Caenorhabditis elegans: one gene and its partner. The protein of the gene in region 2 interacts with the protein of the main gene of each other region in a pairwise test. Each region holds a gene or a part of one and is shown on either strand. Other genes may lie near its edges. The genes, in order: sld-2 and ima-2.

Region 1 (8,930 bases), 2.6 Mb from region 2:
TTTGACTACTTCCTGAAAAAAAGAACCGTTCATATTTTGAATTCCTCGTACAGCTGACTCACTTCTCGATGCGTTTCCGGGATTTCTCGGATTAGCATTACTTTCCGCTTGGTGATAGCTCTGACCTTCTCAAACTTTTCGTCTAATTCCACATTTGTTGATTCTGCAAAACATAGAAAATGAAATTGAAGCACTTCTTGCTGGATCATATAATCTCACATACCTTTCAGCGCTTCCACAATCAAATCGACATCCGTAGTCAGCCGCATTATTTTCGGGAAGCCAGCAAGGACATTGATCGGCACATAGTTGTCCGAATCCATTTGGCATTTCAAATATCGGTCCGAGCTCAGATTCTCTCTGAAACGAAACAAAAAAAAATCAGTTGTTTAATCTCCATTTCTCATGTTTTATATAATTTATTTTCTGCCTTCAAAAACCACTAAAACATGTGTTTTTCTCCGGATTGACAGCCGGCATGTTCACTTGTCCTTTGGTCTAAGATCAACTGAGCGGTTTTTGTTGTAAAATAATATAATTTTTAAAACAACAAAAAAAGAATTTTTATGGTGGGCAACATTTTGAGAGAACCAAGGGCAAAAAATCTGAAATTTCGCCAACTTTTCCTTGTCACAGCGACTGCTGGAACATAGTTTTTATTAAATTATCACCTTTTACACGTTTTTATAGTTTTTCTTGCGGTTATTCGTTGATTTTAAGCACATTTTAAGTCGAATGTGAGTAAAAAGGATGATAATTCAATGAAAATTATATTGCACCTGCTGCGACAAAGGAAATTTGGTGATAATTCAGATTTTCGTGAGTTTTGGTTTTTTTTCTTCGAAATTTTGATATGCCATAAAAACTCGATCAATTGAGCTTATTTTCAGCCTGTTTCACTATGAAACTAGTGAAATTTCGAATATTTATTAAATAAAATCGGCACCGGCACTAACCTGGAAAAGTAGTACTCCAGTTGATTCTTCAACAGCTGCTTAATCTCTTCACGACTCAACGGTGGTGGTGGTGGAACTGCTGGCACAAACTGATTCGTTGATGATGATGAGGGCATCGACATCCCCGAAGAAGGTCCCGGCGGCTGGGGGCCGATCATCATGAGTGATGATTTACACTCACGATTGAACCTGGAAATAGAAGAAATTATAGACGTGGTGGAAAAGAAGAGAAGACAACGAATACAACGAAACGGCGAAATCAGAAGAGTGAATCGATTTTAAAAGCTTCTTGTATATCTTTTTGAATCCTAATTAGTGCATTCGGATGGGATGAAGAGAAGAAGCTAAGAAAAGTGAGAGAAATAAAGAACTGACATGCTGTTTTTGATTATGTTTCTCTCCATCTCTCTCTACTTTTCTTATTCTTCTTCTTTTTCGTCTCGGGATTGAAAATACGAGGCGTACGAATGAACGGATGAATGGTGTCATTTGTTTGGGTTTCAGATGTACAGAAACAGGAGTGATGCGTGGGATGTTTCGGAATGGATAAGAGAAGACGATGTCCCGCGGAGTCAGAGCGGTGTCACGCAGTCTTCGGAATGCTTTTCATACTGAGACAATTCGAGATTCTGGGAATTTGCTTTCCTTATTTAAAAAATACGTTTTTTTTGAAAGGCGAAAACTAGTTTAATCAGCAGAATTTTTTTGAATTTTTGTTGTAAAAACTAGGCTTTATCGACATAATTCTCCATTTTCCCATCGGGGATCGCATCAAAAAAACGAAACAAACCGCTGGAATGAGGAAGTAACACAAATTATAGCGATCATGTTGTACGACGACGGCTGTGTGATCTGGTCACTTTGGAAAGATGAGTGTAAGGCGGATGAACGGGCGCGGCGACGAACAAGCGGGGGGGGGGGAAGTAAGCGCGAGTGAGGGGCGATGAAAACCACTTTTGGACAGAGGACAGGGGGACGAACTGTGAATGATGGTGTGCCGAGAAAGGAGATGCGTTCGCGATCGCACAGAGAGCGAGAGCCAGCAATGGAGATGATTCATCAGTCGATACGGACGTTATGAGAGTGTACACAGATCCGAGAGAGTCCAGAGAGAAGGGTGGCAGCTACGCACGCATCATCAGGAACAAGCAGCAGAACAGTTTTTTTTTTGTTGGGACGAACATGAAATAAGATCATGATGCAACAGAAAAGAAATGATAGTCGACAAAAGCGATTTTTAAAAAAGCAGCAGCAGCAGCAACAGTAGCGACGTTCGCTTACCAATAAGGAAGTGGAGGTGGTTGGGGAATACCGCTGGCACCCGACGCTGATGTCGACGGTGACGTGCCTGGTGAGTGGGCGTTAGATGTTCCCACAGAGGAGCCTGGTGAAGATGTCTTCTCCACTGCCACCTTTCCATCGAACTTTCCCACCATTCTTTCAATTTGTGACTTGTCGATTTGGATTGCCTATAATCATAATCCGTATCTTTACTTTGAATGCATTAATTTTTTTGGCATCGTTTTCCCCCATAATTTTGAAAATTAGCTTGTCCTACGCCCACTATGCGAACAATTAGTAATATTTACTCAAAAGTTTTTGCAAAAATTAGAATAATATTTTCCGGACTTGATCAAGCACTAATAATATCGTTAAATCATTAAAAACCCTGCAACTCAAAGGCTGTTGCTAATGATAAGAGTGTGCAATTGATTTTCTGGGAGGGACGCGAAAAATGTGGCTTATCAGAGGTGAGAAAATGGCAAAATTCGTGTGTGCAAAAAATCACGGAAATGACGAATTTCGGGGTGGCGGAAGAGACTGTTTCGTGGAAGAAAATAATGATTTCTCAATAGGGGACGGGAAAAGCTTTAAACAAACTTTGACCTAGAACTTTTTTTTTAATTTTTAAAATTTAAACTTGGAGTAAAGTCAATTTCTAGAAATTCCCGAAAACTAAAAATTCGACGCTGTACAATTCAAAATAAGAGAAAAATTCATAAATTTTTTGTGGGTGCTGTCAATGCGATACTGCCGTTGGAGACACAAAGGAGAAAACATAGTAGGCTGCGGGGTAGCTAGCCTGAGACACGCATAAATTGAGATGTGATGACAGAAGAGGTTAAAGGTGTGCGCGTACATACACATACATTTTTTTATGTCTTTGACCCAAGAAGGACCAGTTCTGGAAACACAATCGATCAGAAGCGACAAATATGCCGTTGTGTGAACCTTCGTGACGTCACGGGAAGAATTGTTTTGGAGTAATCACATTTTTTCCTCTATTATACATTTGTCTAAATTACGTCAGAGTCAGAAAGGAAAAAAAAGTTGGTGCCTATTAATTAAACATCATAAAGATTTGATAATAAATATATACGTCTATTTTCAGAATTCAGTGGCAGAATTCAATGGCAGAATGGGGCAAGAAGTAGACAACACACGGGAAAACTCTACGAGAAATATATCCAGGCAGGTGCAATTCAGCTGCCAGAATACTTAAAAAGTACTTTGGAAACTGTTATTCAAACGGGGGCTTTGCGTCATACGTTTTTAAGCGAAATATACTTTTTGCAGATGCAGAAAATGAACTTTTGAGATGATTCTTCCAAAATATTTCAGAATTATTTTAAAATTGAGAAAAAAAATTATCTTTACTCAAGGAAAGCACGGAGTATTTCTAAAAATTATTTCAAGCAATATTTGAACTCTCCGTGAAATATTATGGAGCGCACGATATACGACTTAAAGAAAAGTGAAACGAGATCCGGTTTTTATGGTATAGGTGCGAAGACTAAGTGAAAGTAGACGTAGAAGTAGCTGACACTTTTCGATAAAAAACCCCTACTAAAATGGGGTTTGTTAACTTTTAAAGTAGCCATTTTATTTTTCTAGTTACATACAAATCTTTAAAGGAGTGTTTCGTTACACAGAGGCACGCCCGAATGCAAATTAGATGACACAAACCTTCTGAACGACAAAGTTTCGCGGTGACACTTCTGTGCAAATGTAGAAGGCGTCCGAGTCGAGCTCGAACGTGTCCATCTCCGAAAAGGGACGTCGACGCCGTGGAGAATGGTGAACGAAGGAGAAGAAGTCAGTATCACGTCATCCGACTTATGGAAGCGAATGGAGAAGTGGGTGGTGGAGAAGAAGGAGCGTAGAGAGGGGCGACGGGCGCAGCAGCAGTGGCCAGACTCTTCTTCTCTGACCGTGTCGTGTCAGCCGGTTTTGTGAGGGCAGAGAGAGAGAGAGACACGTTGAACGACACAAAGAGACGGAGACAACGCAAAAAAAAAGTGAGAAGGGGAATGTGTGCACAATATGGTACGCAGACGACGATGTGAAAAATGGAGGGACGAATGGCAGGCAACAAGAACTGGGAAGAGGAAGAAGACGCGCTTCTCGATTGTTTTTTCTAGAGCGAAAAGCCTGGAATATACTGAAGGCAGCGGACGGGGCTCTCCTGCCATCATTAGGGACCCGCAAGAGAAATGAAATAGAAAAGCAAGGGAGATGGAGAAGAAGTATGGAAACAGAGACATATCCCTTTTCAGCAATTCTTCGATTAGTTCGACAATTTCATGGAGCCAAGGTTTTGGAGTGGAGAGAAAGTTGAATTCAATGAAAATGTCATTCGGCTAAATATTTGATAGAGGAAGATGATGTTAATGTTAAATAACAAATTATTTAGTACAATTCAAGGAATACAGCTTCAAATTAGTCAAATGTTTACAAACTTTACAATAAGGAGTTGAATTTAATTAAAAACCAAGTAGAATTATTTAAAATTTTATTCCTAATATGGAATAAGCACGCGTTTCCTAATTGACAGTTCATATTCTCTATTCATATTATCCTATTCAGAAAATTTCATCAAAATATCAGTTTAAAAGCAAGAAAATACAGAAAAAAGGCTACAAATCTGGAAATTTTCAGATAAAACGTGGAAAAAATATATAAAACAGAGCTGCGATTCAAAGCAAGCGCTGGAAAAGTGTGCGGTGGAGCGCACTTGCCACACATTTTTGGCGCGAGTTTTGAAAACAGCTCCTGGTTTTTTGGTTTTTGCTCTCATTTTCTCTATTTATTTTCTTATTTTCTTTGTTTTCACATGTTTTCTGCCGAATCTTTTCGATTTCAAATTAAATTTTTAAATTATTTTCAGCCCGAACGTAATGGAAGAGTGGAAAACGTCTTTCCGAGAGATTTATGGAAGATCACCAACGGCAGGAGATATTTCTGTAGCTCCGAATCATATTAAAGGTAATTAATGGAAAAAAAAACGTATTTACATTAAATTATTATTTCAGCTATACTTCAATCTGAAAAGAAGGAGAATGACGAGAAAATCGAAGAGAAGCAAGCGAAACGTGGAGTGAAGCGGAAGAATTTCGAAATGAAAATGATGGAAGGCGAGCAATTCAGCCCTATCAAAAAACGAGTTAATCTTAATCAGCTCGGCTCGGAAAATGATAAAAATCCAATTCCACTGAGATCTTCACCCAGAAAGGTTGATATCGCATTAAAAACTGCTGAAATTTAAAATAAAATTGCAGAAAATGATTGCGATCGAAGTTTTGCCGGAAAAGAGCATGGTGTCGCCTAAAAAGGTTTGAAACTTTAATAATCTTTATAATAATAAAATAAACTAAATTTCAGAAGCCAGTGGGATCAGTTCCGTTCGAATTCGACGACTTTTCCCCTGTGAAGTCATACTCCGCGAGCACATCAAAATCTGCCGTTAAATCTACGCTAACACCGATCAAATCTCCAACAAAACGCGCTTACCAGAGACCATTGAGGGTTTGTTTTATTTAAATACTAATTTAAAATTTCCATTTTCCTATTTCAGGATCTCAAAATGCTTCTCTTACCAACGCCGGAAAAGGGTCAAGAAGTTGAAGGTCCGGTTGAAGAATTCGATGATGAGACGTGAGTTTTAGATTTTCATTGAAATTTCGAGCTTTAATTTTCGGAAATTTGCAGATTCCAGGCTATTTTAAGCATTTTTTTGACACATTTCATGCAAATCAATCTATAATTTTTTTTCAGAAACGAAGATGTTGCCAAAGCACGTTCCTACAATCCAGCAGCCAGAAAACTCGGCGGTTCATCAAAAAGCGATCAAAACTTCCAGAAAATCAATCTGAGAAAGAAGCAATTCGTTCGCGGAAAAGTTACCGCAGAGCAGAAGCGAAAGTTGAAGAGAAAACAAATGTTCAAGAAGAAGTACTGAATATTCTAATTTGTCTAGAATTTCATTTTTACATTATTATTATTCGGATTTTTATGTATTTTATTTTATCATTCACTTATCGGGTTTTTCAAAAACCGCAATAAAAGTTTTAAAGTTTTTTTTTTTTAATTGCGTTCTGGGGCAGGAGAACTAAAGCTTCAACTTTTTTCGAATCGGAATTTTAGGGAATAAAAATAGAGTGCATTTTTTTTTGGTTAAATTCATATTACAGAGATGAAATATTGATATTTTGCACGAAAATACTGTACTCGGTCTCGAAGCGACCGATTTTTAATTATTGCAAATAAGTGTGCGCCTTTAAAGAGTACTGTAGTTTCCAATTCCTAATTTTCGCCAAATTTTCATCGATTTTTCATAGTTTTTCTCCAGGTTCTTCAAATTTTTATGTATATGTTTTATGCATTTTCACATTTTTTCGATAAATTTTCAAGAAACGGGGGACAAATTGAGATAGTCAATTAAAATATGGCAGCAACAAAAAATTTCCAACAACAGTACCCTTTAAAACCCGGTCGCTTCGAGACCCGTCTTTTTACATTAAAATCGCAAATTTTCGCAATATAATAAGCAGATTTGCAAATATTTCAGGGTTTTTTAGATTGAAAATAGTTTTGAAAGAGGAAAAATCTCTATTCAGACTTCCAACTTGAATTTTTTTTCTAATTTTTCAATTCGATGCCAAATCCCTTCAACAATGTATATATACAGCAATGTAACCGATAATGTGATATTATCGGTTAACGATTCCAGTTGATGTTGAGGATGCCGATTTGATAGCCAACCGATCGGAGGATGTTTTATGGCTAATTACAGAGAAACCCGCTTTTTTTCTGATCACATTTTACTTTTAGTTTCGAAATGTTCTCCAAAGCATTTGAGAACTTTTCCTAAAGTTCCATCCTTTCCACAACTTTCAAAAAAAAAATCGAGTTTCTGAGAGTTCTAATTTTCCAAAAAATAATTTTCGAAAGCTGGAAACGTCAAAATAGGTTCTCAGTCTATTTGGTCGTGCTCTCATGGTAGGCAGGTCGACCTTGATGCCTACCTACCTTATAGTTGCAGATCTGATATGTGCACAAATGATTTAGGCACAAGACAAGCACAGTAGGCGAAACTCAAAAGCAGACAGTTATCCATGTTTGTCCTTACCTGGAAGTTAGCGCATCCAATTTTTTTTAGAAATGTGTATTTAAAATTGTAGATTACTGAGGCGATACTGTAGTCTTTGTCAATTTCATGCCTGTGTGTCTAAGCTGCCTACGAAGGTATGTAGGTACAAGTGTAGGCAAGAGGCAGGCATGTAGGCATTCTAAGCTTTAGTAAGTTCTTTTACGTTAACTCGAAATAATTGAATTTTCCCTGTTTAGTTTTTATTTGTTGGAATTCTTTATTTAAATAGCCAGAGCACCACGGGATAACATATTTTTGTAAATTAACTGTTAATAATAAAAATGTCTCGAAAACAGTTGAGAATACAGCCATAGGCACTACACCTACCTCATTCCTGCCTGCCTATAAAATCTTACCGTAGCAGCCTTCGTTTTTCGACTACAATTCTTTTTTTTTGAAATTTTCTGAAAATGGTTCAGTTTAGACGGGGACACTGACCCATTTAGTCGATCAGTACCAAGATGGAAGAGCTTTCCGCGCTTGACGGCCACGTTCTCCTTTTATATGAAATATAGGTCCCCCGCTCTCCTCATTCACCAAATCCAAATTTAAAGCAGTTTTCCAGTCCATTGAACACAAAGTAGTGGTGTTTCAAGTTACAAACACAAAAACACTTTTTTTCAATTCTCAAACACCCTCAATGATGACGAATTCCGGTTTGCAACGCGAGACGGTGGCAAAAGTTGTATGGTTCTGATGCGATTAACGCGAATCATTTGGGTCGGCGCCAGAATTCTCTGAATTTGTATAAAAGTTTCGTGTGCTGAAACTGATTGGAACTATAATTTAGAGCTAGAAATGTGTGTTTTTTTATGATTTATGTATATGTAGTCGTATAGAAAGTACGAGAAATATGTATTATTGTTTAAAAACTTGGATCATGAAGTTTTACGAGTTCTCAAAAATTTGCTTGAAATTCTGGGGAAACCATGAAAATAAGGTAGTGCTCAAGCTATTGCTGCCATTGGAAAAGTTTTCCGAGTTTAGAAAATTCTAGGCTATAGTTTTTTGTAACTTTGGGTTACTGTAGTAATTTCTAACAAAATACAGTACAATTTATCAATACAAATAAAAGTTTTAATTGTTACTTTAATTTTCACAATTAATAGCCCATTTCCCATTCTATATGTATAGGACGATAAAAAACTAACGAATGCCCCCAAACAAATAGACACCAACATTAAATATTCTCACTTGCAAATGTCAATTTCTGCATCCTCACAGCAAAAGTGCTCTATTTGTCTTGGCACCGTGCCAACTATATTTGAACATTTAACGACGCTGGACGGGAGAACAAAGGGGCTTTTAATTAAAAATTCTGAATTTTTTGCCCCACATTGATCTACTTTGGCAGTTTGTATCTCGGCTCTATTGTGCTTTATCAAAAAATGTTCAACTGACACAATACTTGTAAAATATTTATCTACATTCTTTAGTTTATCATTTTTTGACAAAACCAAAAAGAACCGAGAAACGAGCTGTCAAAGTAAATCAGTGGGCGTGCAAATTACTGGTAATATACATAATGAAAGCCAATTTGGAAC
Region 2 (9,775 bases):
TACCTTCGGACTGTCTGTTCCATTAATAGCGGCTCCCACTTTGATCATCATTTTGAGTTTGGATGTACTGCAATTAATGTGTGATTTAACGAATTATATTGAATTTTAATTATTGGAAAAAGCTGAGAAATTTGAAGTAACCGAGAAATAGCTGTGAAGAAGTTTAAAAAACTTTTTTAGGACTATGAGCCGGATCTTGTCAAGTTTTGTTATCCTAACCAAACATTATTGTGACAAATGCTTCAAGTGGAAATTATTTTTCAAATTTCGTGATAAAATCATTAAAATTAACGACAAAAGGCATCATTTCAGTTCAGCCGGAAGAAAAGAAAAAACAAGGGATATTGAGTCCAGATTAAAGGCGCAGACAATTTTCAGATGGGTCCCGCGACGAACACATAGACAAAAACGCGGATGTTCAAATTAGCGAGTGAACAGTTCAACAAAGAAACATGAATGCGTATTGAAAAATACGCGCATCGTTTTCCCGGTTATAAAAATCATATGTTCCACTTTCTTTTCATTCTAAACAAATTGTCAATTTAAAGTGAAGAGATCAGTTAAAACGGGGTCAAATATAAATACGGGTAATACACACAGATGAGGGTAATTCTAAAAAAAACAATCCAATGTTAAATGTGAGAAAGAAGAATGTTACTATGAAATGACTACTAGAATGATGATAAGTGTGAAATAATTTAGAAACTCCATTTGTTATCTTGTGGATCGGCATTCTCATGAGACTCCTTCTCTCCAGCATCATCGTCGGTGAAGAATTGAGTGATGATGCGGTAAGCCTGAGTATAGATCTGCTCCGATTGACTTTCCTGGAGGCGCTCCAAACTGTCAAGTCCACCATTCTCTTCGACTTGGTCGTGAAGAATGTCCACTTTGTGAGGGTAACTGGAATCACATTTTTGAGAGTGCTAATTATCTAATAAAAACATACCCATTCTGAACAGTGAGCATAAGAGTATACAGAGTCTCCAAAGTATTATTCAGCATATCAGTGTTAGTTTGAAGAAGGGCTTGGCACAAAGCAGGCACTACATTGTCTTCAAGCATGGCGACAACTTGACGATTTGTTCCCCCTTGAGCCAAATTAGAAAGAGCCCAAGAAGCCTCGAACTGGCACTTGTGATCTCCCGACTTCAGAACATTGATGAGAACTGGGAGAAGATTTGCGTCGAGGACAGCTTGAATCTGCTTCTGAGTTCCAGCAATAATGTTGGACACCAACCAGCAGCACTCCTTCACAATGCTTGATGATCGCGTCTTTTCCATCAATGGAAGAATTTCATCGAGTGATCCCAAGTCGATAACCGCCTGTGTCAGCGAGTCATTTCCAGTTGCAACATTACCAAGAGTTCGGAGAGCCGGAGCAACAAGGTTTTCAGCTTCTTTGAAGAAAGCGACGACGTGAGGAAGCACACCACTTTCTCGTGCCAATTCGATTTGCTCATCTGGTCCATCAGTCAAATAAGAAACAGCCCAGCATGCGTCTTGACGGACTTGACGGTCCGTGTGCTAAAGTGAAGACGTTAATTGCGATCGAACATTTTGACAATTACCTGAACAAGTTTGACAAGACCTTTCGACAGAACACGAAGAACTTCTAATGGGGCATGTGGATTCTTATGACGGCACATGTTGGAGAATGCCCATGCAATGGTACGAACATGCGAATCTCCCAGTTGATCGACTTTCTCCATCAAATGCATCAACGCCTCCACTCCATGGCATTTAATAACATAATCACGAAGTTGAGATGAGTCTCCAGCAATGTTAGCGACTGCCCACAAAGCTTGCTCCGAGATCTGCGCACTCTGATGAACTGAAAGATGGATCAGTGGAATTGTTACTCCGGCTTCAACAGCTGCAATTGTTTGCTCGGTGGAACCGGAAACGATATTGGTAAGAGCCCAAGCTGCTTCATATTGAACACGCTCGTTCTGAAAATTGGAAATTATTGAATGGAAATAAAGATCGACCTACCTCAACGCTCAATGCCTGAACCAAAGCCTGAAGCAAACCGCAGTGAATGACTTCATCAATAGGTGGATTCTTCGTCTTTGATAGTGATTTTCTCAACGACTCGAAGCATCGAACCATATCATCTTCCGATGGATTGTTGGAGAGAATAGCTCTAATCTCATCATTTGACAAACGGGTTGATGATTGCTGATGAGATATCTTCTCTGGCTCCTCGAGCTCCGATTCCGAATTGCCACCTTCATCGACGTCGACGATGTTACGGCGTTTCATCATCATGTCCGCTCCTTTTTGCTTTCGAATTTCAACACTGCATTCAGTACGACGACGACGGAGCTCCTGAACAGAACAAATAAATAAATCTCGCAATTACTTTAAATAAGTCGGATAGTAACATTTTTGCATGAAATCTGTTATCAATAATTTAACATACTTCATGCTTGGTGAGATTCTTGTACTGTTGAAGGCGGCCTCCCTCATCCTTTCCCTCTTCGGCATTGTGAGACAGGCTGGTTTCGGTGAGAGTCATAGTTAAGCTTCAATCTGGAAGAACTTATGTGAATATTAAACAAAAATAACACTATTAGAAAAAAGTAGGAGTTTCTGATTCGAAAAAGTTCGGAATAAATCACCTCCATACTTTTTAATAATAAATTTCGCAACGAGATAAATGGGAACTAGTTAAACAGAACTAAAATTTCATGAGAATATTACAAATTCAGTTGAAAAGAATGAGTGGTGAAACTATTTAAGAAAGAAAAGGAGGAAACATTGGGCGATGAAAGCAGAAATGAGCGCCGCGGCCCAAAATTGTTATCAAAAAGTGTAACCTTCGCGCCGAAATTCGAAATGTTGAAGCGAATAAGGCGCCAATAAAGAGCGTTGGCGCCAAACTGATTTTTGGCGGTAACTTAAAATCGAATTGTTTGCTTTTAAAAAATCGCATTAATGCGTATTCATGGAATGTTTTTGAGGAAAAGATTTATACTTCCGAAAATATATAGATTTTCTAGCCCTACAAAAATGAAAAATGCAGAAAACACAAACTCCAATATAAATACCACGATATATCTAACCTTAATTGTACAGTAATCTACCGTAGTTCTAAAAACGGTGCAGCATGCATTTCAACATGATTGAATAAAACATACTGTTGAATAAACAATACTTTATTCGAAAAAGTTCAACGAGCAATCACCATTCCGGAAGTTCTAGTTAACATTTTTGACAGTGTCTGATTTTTTCGTTTACTTTTAAAAATGTGAGTTCGAAGATTTCTGCTAACACATATCATTACAATTGGAGAACCAACAGTTAAAAAGTCTAGAGCTAAAAAGCTAAATCCATAAACGGGGCTTGATGCATCAGTGTATGAGAAGAAAAAGCTGTAGTATATCTGAATGTTCTAGATATTTTTTAAAATTCAGAAGTTAATAACCTGAAATAAAACTTTAAAAGTGAACCCAATGGATATGATAACCGTTGCATTAGAGATTGCTTTTTCTATTTCTTTTGATCTTTCTGGAAGTTTTAACAAAGTAATTGCAGTGCATATAAATGTAAATGATAATGCAATAATAATAAAAACAAGTTGAAAACGAGATTGGCTTGCCTGAAACAATAAATATTAAATATAATGTACATATTTAATGTGCTCCCAGCCTCAGTTCTTGTCACGAACAAGTGTGTTGGGTTACTGTACCCGCTTATCTTCTCGTTTTCCCAGAACTTTTCAATATTTCAGAATTAAAAAACGCATAATTCTAGAAATATGATCAACACAAAAAGAGAGAATGACAAATAGAAAGATTGATGATCTATCATTGTTGCGGGTACGGTAGCTGAAAAATTTTACTCGTCTCGGGATCCGAGACTGTTGAACAAAAAGTTCAGTCGAAAGTGTAGTTTTTCGCATGTGAGGTAATATGTCTAATTTGGTATAATCTGGAATCCTTAAAGTCACACTCATTTATTTTGTAAGGGTCTCTCCAGTTCATCTTTTATTTTTCTGTATGTGGTTCATTAAAACAGTTTCTTCAGTTTCTTTTAGTTTTAAAACAAAAAAGAAATGGAAACAGATGAACTTACCCAGCTAACTTTCTTGAAATAGCTAACCCAGAAACCTCCATACGTGGATTGCATGTAAACTCGAGATATAGCAATATTCCAGTCAGCACAAAATGGAATTAAAAAAACTGCACTAATCACATATTTCAAGCTTTTTCTCCATATTGAATCGTGCGTTATTGGAAACAGGACACACGTCATTCGATTTAAAACTAACAAAACTTGTAAAAGGGATTTACAAATTGATACATGATGAGTTAATAACATTATAATCTTAAACCCAACAAGCGGAGATTGAAAGTAATCAGCGAGAACAGGGCATATTGGTGTAAAGTAAATAAAGAAACGAGCAAATAAACCTTCTGTTATAAGAATTGATATGTTCTGAAGAAAGTACGGTGCCCATTTGAAACCTAATGAAACAACAGATTCAAACAGAAAGGTCTTACAGCGAAATAAATTTATAGTAGCACTTGTGACTTTTTCGTTTATACTTTTTCAATTCAAATTAAAATTCTGATACTCACCAGAAAATCAAGTAAACCAATAAAACGGAAAAAAAATTTGCAACGAAGGCAAAAGAGAAATGAAATTTTCATGAAATTTTCTTTCAGTACAACCTTTTTGTATTATACGATGCTCCGCGCTTTGTTTTTTTGTTGCAAATTTTAATTATTAATTTCTTCCGAAAATCTCTGAAACTATGAGTTATTAAAAAAAACACTTACAGCTATACAATCAACCGAAAAAAGAGTAAAAAAAGAGTTCGTGGAATAAACTTCTCTACATCTCCAGAGAATAGTCCCCAATACGGCCGAATTCAAAAATATCCCAGTAATAATGTAAATTATTTGAGCTGTGAATTTTAAAACTTCAATGTTTGTATTATAGGATAAATCACAGTCTACAGGAATTGGATCAATATCAAGATTCTTCATGTCAGGCGAGAAATCTGACATTCTAAAGACCCTAGGATCGACAAAGAAAATGAAATATTGGAAATAGAAATTCAATGAAAAGAAAATCTCAAAGTGCCAATTATGCCTGGAGGGGTGCGAAAATAGAGAAAAATGTTTGATCACGCAAAGGTTGCATGTCTATAAAGTTTGGACACATGATGATATTAAACACGAAACATATAACATTTTGATAATAAATTGTTTGAATATCTTGGGAAAACGAATAACAATTAAATTAAAATTAATGATTTATAAAAATATTATTGTAGCATTGAAAATGTATTAATTGTAGGCAAGTAAAGCTACATTTGGTTATTTATTTGTTTACTATAGTTGATTGTGACTTGCTTTATTCAGTTCAGTTTATGAGTTGCTGTTGTGATATAAAATTTATTCTCAAATATTATGAAATTATACAGATTTCTTTATTTGTTTTGGACATGGACAATATTCTCCATCAACACCTTGAGGTCCTGGTTGCCCGAATCCACCAGGTGTACCATCCATTCCCTTTTGTCCTGGAGGCCCTTGTGGTCCAGGTGCTCCTGAATCTCCTGGAGCTCCTGCCAATCCTGGAGAACCAGGTCCTCCCTGTACTCCACTATCTCCTTCGGCTCCTCGAGGTCCTGGTGGCCCGGGAATTCTACGAACACGTACTCCATTATTTCCCGGGTTTCCAGGTTTTCCATCAAAACCAGGATCTCCAACCGGTCCTGGAAGTCCTGGTTCTCCTGGATATCCTGGCGTTCCGTGTCTTCCTGGGATTCCGTCGAGACCTGGTGCTCCAGTAATTCCTGGTACTCCAGGTGGTCCACGTGGTCCTGGTGGTCCCATTGGTCCAGCTGGGCATTGAGCACATCGTCCCGGATCGTGACGAAGCACTGATATGTCATCACCTCCTGATGATCCCGGAACTCCAGGTTCACCATCATCTGGAAGTTGGGGTAAATTATGAGATAAATTACAATAAAAACGATTACATCCATCTTCCCCATTAAATCCGGGTGGTCCTGGTGGTCCACGGCAATTGCATCCTCTATTCGCAGTTCTTCCAGTCTGGAATCCACCTGTTACTGGGACAACTGGAGCGCGTGTCAAATCTGAAGAAAAAAAAAGTTCTTCGGGGACACCATCAGTTTTTCATAGGTTTAATAAAAAATCATGTTTAACTAATAAAGTTCATGAAAAAATAACTTACATGCATGTCTTTTGTGTCGGTCGGTTTCTCCAGTAGCTACAAAAACGAGATCATCCCAAATCTTTTCTGATGTCTCCTAAGAAAACCTTCATGAACTTCAGTCTAAAATTATCAATCAAACCTGAAAATGTTGAGTCTCAACAATAGCTTCTTCGGTAATTCTTGAGATCTCACTTTGCCACGTGGCAATTGAGACTAAAAGCACGATTGCTGCAGAGAGACAAGCTGCTGATAACCCGAAGGCGACGTTGTCCCATTTAGAAGAAGCCGTCATTTTCTTCAAAAGAAGAAAACGAAGAATGATTGTAGGTGATTAGATTAGAAAAGGAAGGATGGGTTGGTGAGGTGATAAAGTGTAATTACGGTGTAATGTGTGATTGAAGAACAACTAAACAAGATAATACACACAAATATGTGATTACTAATATACTTGATTTTCAAACTAATGAGCGAGTTTCTTTTCAAGAGAAATATTACAATTTTCGGCCATGTTAGGCGAGTTTTTTTAGTTGAAAATTCAAAATCCTTATTTTGTAGGAACCTATTTTGGAGGCATTCTTTCAGACGACATGTAACACTTTCCTTCTTACTATTAGCCAACGACCAGTAAAAAGGCAGCTCTCTGGAAAACAGTTTAAAATTTCAAAAAATAAAGATGCATATATCAAAAATGTTTTACAGAAAATGTAATACGCTAATTTAGCTAGAGCCCATTTGCATTAATGTATTAGAAAATGTTGCGGTAGATAATCAATTTTTATTTCAGATATCTACTTTTTGAGGCTGGTACTCTTAGAACTTGAAAATGTAGAAGGAATAAAAGAGTTTGATTTCTTTCTTGAAATATCAGGCAGATGGTCTCCACGAGTGATTTCATCTGAACCCAAAGCTTTTGTACGAAGTGGTTTTGTGTATCTCATTACACTAATACTCAATTGTCCATTTACGTCGACTTGCAACGTGGCACCACGGTTCTGAAAAATAAAAATAAAAAAACAATTCTTGAAAAAAAACTCACATCACTCTCATTCATGTAACGTGGCGCCGAGAAAATAGTGAGAAGCTTGCGGTCCGAGTTGAATTTGAATCCTTCGGGAATCATCTAGAATGTGTCATGAAAAATCAATATCGTTATTTGGAATACCTGATGGGCTCGAACAACTAAATGAAGATTTAGACGTCGGCAAACATCTCGTACTGCTGCATCATTGAAGGAATGTGCTAATCCACGGACAATGTTCTTGGCATACTTTGGTGTACTAAAAGTAAGTTTTGTCTATAAGTATTCCAAACTCCAATTAACAGAATGCAACTCACTCACTGATCGATGCCAAGGTTTGTACATCCATTGGATCAGACCACAATAAATCTTGAGCCAAATCGGTAACTTCCGGAAGTGGGCGTACGATCTAAAAACTATTATGTTGTGAACGATTTATAATTTTCGCAAAATTCCGGAGGAATGGGGAAGAGGCAGGTGAGTGTAATTCGCATTCCCGTAAAATGTCAAACATACGCTATCAATAGAATCCAATGACTCCAATTTTTCACTAATTCCTCCGTGCATGCACAAGATTCGTCCACCAACTAAACAAGCCAATGGCATAAAAGAGAACACTTCGTTGAATTTTTCCCAAATTTCGAAACCATCCTTTTTTCCAAGTCTATTCTCTAGTTCTTCTCTAAATCCATACGCAAAATTGATTGCTTTGGTTTCATGATTCCCACGTAGCAAAACGAAATTTGTGGGATACGCTATCTGAAACATAATAACTAAAAGGGAAACAAATTTCAGATCGAGAACCTTCAAAGCAAAAACTAGACAAATACATTCAATTGAATGATTTCCTCGATCAACATAGTCGCCCAGGAAAACAAATCTTCAAATAATTTCTTTGGAAAAATAATTTGTTTCGATTCAATTAATATTACCTGTTTGACGAATAACTGGTGACTATTTTTTGTTTAGCTTCTTCTTTAGAAATCCGAGAATTCAAAATTCTCACAAGATCCGGATATTGTCCATGGATATCACCAACAATTGTAACTGGCGGAGAGATTGTAGCAAGAGTTTTCTCCATTTTGAAAAGTTCCATAATTTGTCCAATCAAGAGAAGGAGGTCTGACTTTTCATATACATGCTGAAATAATCTTTTAAATTAATTTTACGTTTTTCACAGTTAGTTCACTTGAAGTTGATATTTCTGACTAGTAAATGAATTTTTAAACAAATATGCGAGCGAGCGATTCTTCATTCTACACAACTCTAGCAACTTTTGCGTTTGGCATTCTTAAGATTCTAAAGTTGGTTGAGAAGTTGCCGAGATTATTTTAATTTTGCCGTTCGAACCCACCTGTCTGTAATTGATCCAATTCTTGACGAACAAATGACTTTTGATGAATTGGTGAATATCGAGAGTAATGTTATCATCAGCCATTATATCGAAAGATGTTAAGCTGAAAATAAGAATAAAAATAAGTAATAATATGAAAAACTCACTATATTTGTAACTGATCGTTTTATTAAACTACGCACCAATTTAAAAAATGATTGATTTCTTTGATCACAAGGTAAAAATGGGCTAAAAATGGGCGAAAATAACAGAAAAAATTAGTTCACGGAAATTTATAAATAAAAAATGTACATAGAAAATTATTATAAACATTTTTCCGGAAAAGGAATAGTTTATTAAGCCTGGAAAATCGTAAAAATATTAATTCTTGTATCCGATTAATGTATTATTTTTTCTGAAGTATTTTTTAAACTTTTAAAGTAATTATAGAGCAAATATTACAATAGTGACCGCCGTGGCGCCTCACCCAAACAGAGTTCCTGTTTCAAGTTTATTGAAAAAGAGAACTAATTAATAAAGCTATACTCTGAATTCAACAAAATACAGAAAAAAAGGCAAAGACAAGACAATAAATTTTATACAATGAAAACATCAAAGGATCATTGAGTTTTATCCACAGCCAATTCTTTGCAAGTAGGTTCTCTGAAATAACGTTTTTTTTCAAGTGATAAGGAATGGGGGAGACGAGACAGTGCCTCGATTAAAAATTGGAGAACAGCTACTACGCACAATTTCTAGGTTAAAATAAGTTAAAATAAAGAAAAAAACTCACTGCATCACCTTCATCTTCATTGCACTTTTATTATTGTTCGGAGGATCACAAGATGGTTTTGGTCCGGGAGTCATTGCACGAGTTGGAACTGCAGGCTGAAATTTATTTTAAAACTAACTTAAATTTTTTCATTTACAAACACACCAGATCTGTAGATTTTGGCATTTTCATGTCAACAGATTGTTTCTTAGTCAGAGCATTGTTGTTTGTGGTAGGTGGCTGTGAAGCCTCGAATTGCTTCAAAAAATATTATTGCTGGATGATCTGAGAGAAAAAAAACTTACGTAGCGAGAAACCCCAATCTGCTTTTCATTTGGCGCCAGGAATACACGTTCCGGAGCAATCGCACTCTCTTTTGTTCTTGTTCGAGGTGCCTTCGCTGGTGTCTTCAGAGGCGCAGGTATTGCCGCATCAACAGGTTTTTTAGGTTTTG

What was found.
Region 1: the proteins of ima-2 (region 2) and sld-2 interact in a two-hybrid assay, tested with the Caenorhabditis elegans proteins (one large-scale study listed by BioGRID).

What each region holds. Positions count from the first base shown.
Region 1 is NC_003279.8:3,736,334-3,745,263, forward strand, and holds sld-2 (Ribosome biogenesis protein NOP53), read left to right. Parts: upstream 1-5,117; 5' UTR 5,118-5,134; coding exon 5,135-5,222; intron 5,223-5,269; coding exon 5,270-5,469; intron 5,470-5,515; coding exon 5,516-5,569; intron 5,570-5,618; coding exon 5,619-5,762; intron 5,763-5,811; coding exon 5,812-5,891; intron 5,892-6,011; coding exon 6,012-6,195; 3' UTR 6,196-6,314; downstream 6,315-8,930. Other genes in the region: larp-5 (HTH La-type RNA-binding domain-containing protein), read right to left, coding at 1-12, 63-163, 224-360, 957-1,145, 2,238-2,425, 3,924-4,001.
Region 2 is NC_003279.8:6,307,993-6,317,767, reverse strand, and holds ima-2 (Importin subunit alpha-2), read right to left. Parts: upstream 2,536-9,775; 5' UTR 2,522-2,535; coding exon 2,426-2,521; intron 2,332-2,425; coding exon 1,996-2,331; intron 1,953-1,995; coding exon 1,572-1,952; intron 1,528-1,571; coding exon 950-1,527; intron 904-949; coding exon 699-903; 3' UTR 501-698; downstream 1-500. Other genes in the region: hrpk-1 (Heterogeneous nuclear ribonucleoprotein K homolog), read right to left, coding at 4-51; srg-14 (Serpentine receptor class gamma-14), read right to left, coding at 3,176-3,388, 3,431-3,604, 4,081-4,443, 4,788-5,018; col-58 (Nematode cuticle collagen N-terminal domain-containing protein), read right to left, coding at 5,430-5,950, 5,999-6,118, 6,217-6,292, 6,338-6,490; F26B1.5 (Serine/threonine-protein phosphatase), read right to left, coding at 6,987-7,190, 7,235-7,318, 7,361-7,475, 7,534-7,625, 7,733-8,096, 8,149-8,357, 8,571-8,654; C10G11.1 (uncharacterized protein), read right to left, coding at 9,170-9,212, 9,343-9,437, 9,487-9,579, 9,627-9,775. UniProt on the Caenorhabditis elegans protein: Nuclear transport receptor that mediates nuclear import of proteins, and which is involved in sister chromatid cohesion. Binds specifically and directly to substrates containing either a simple or bipartite nuclear localization signals (NLS) motif.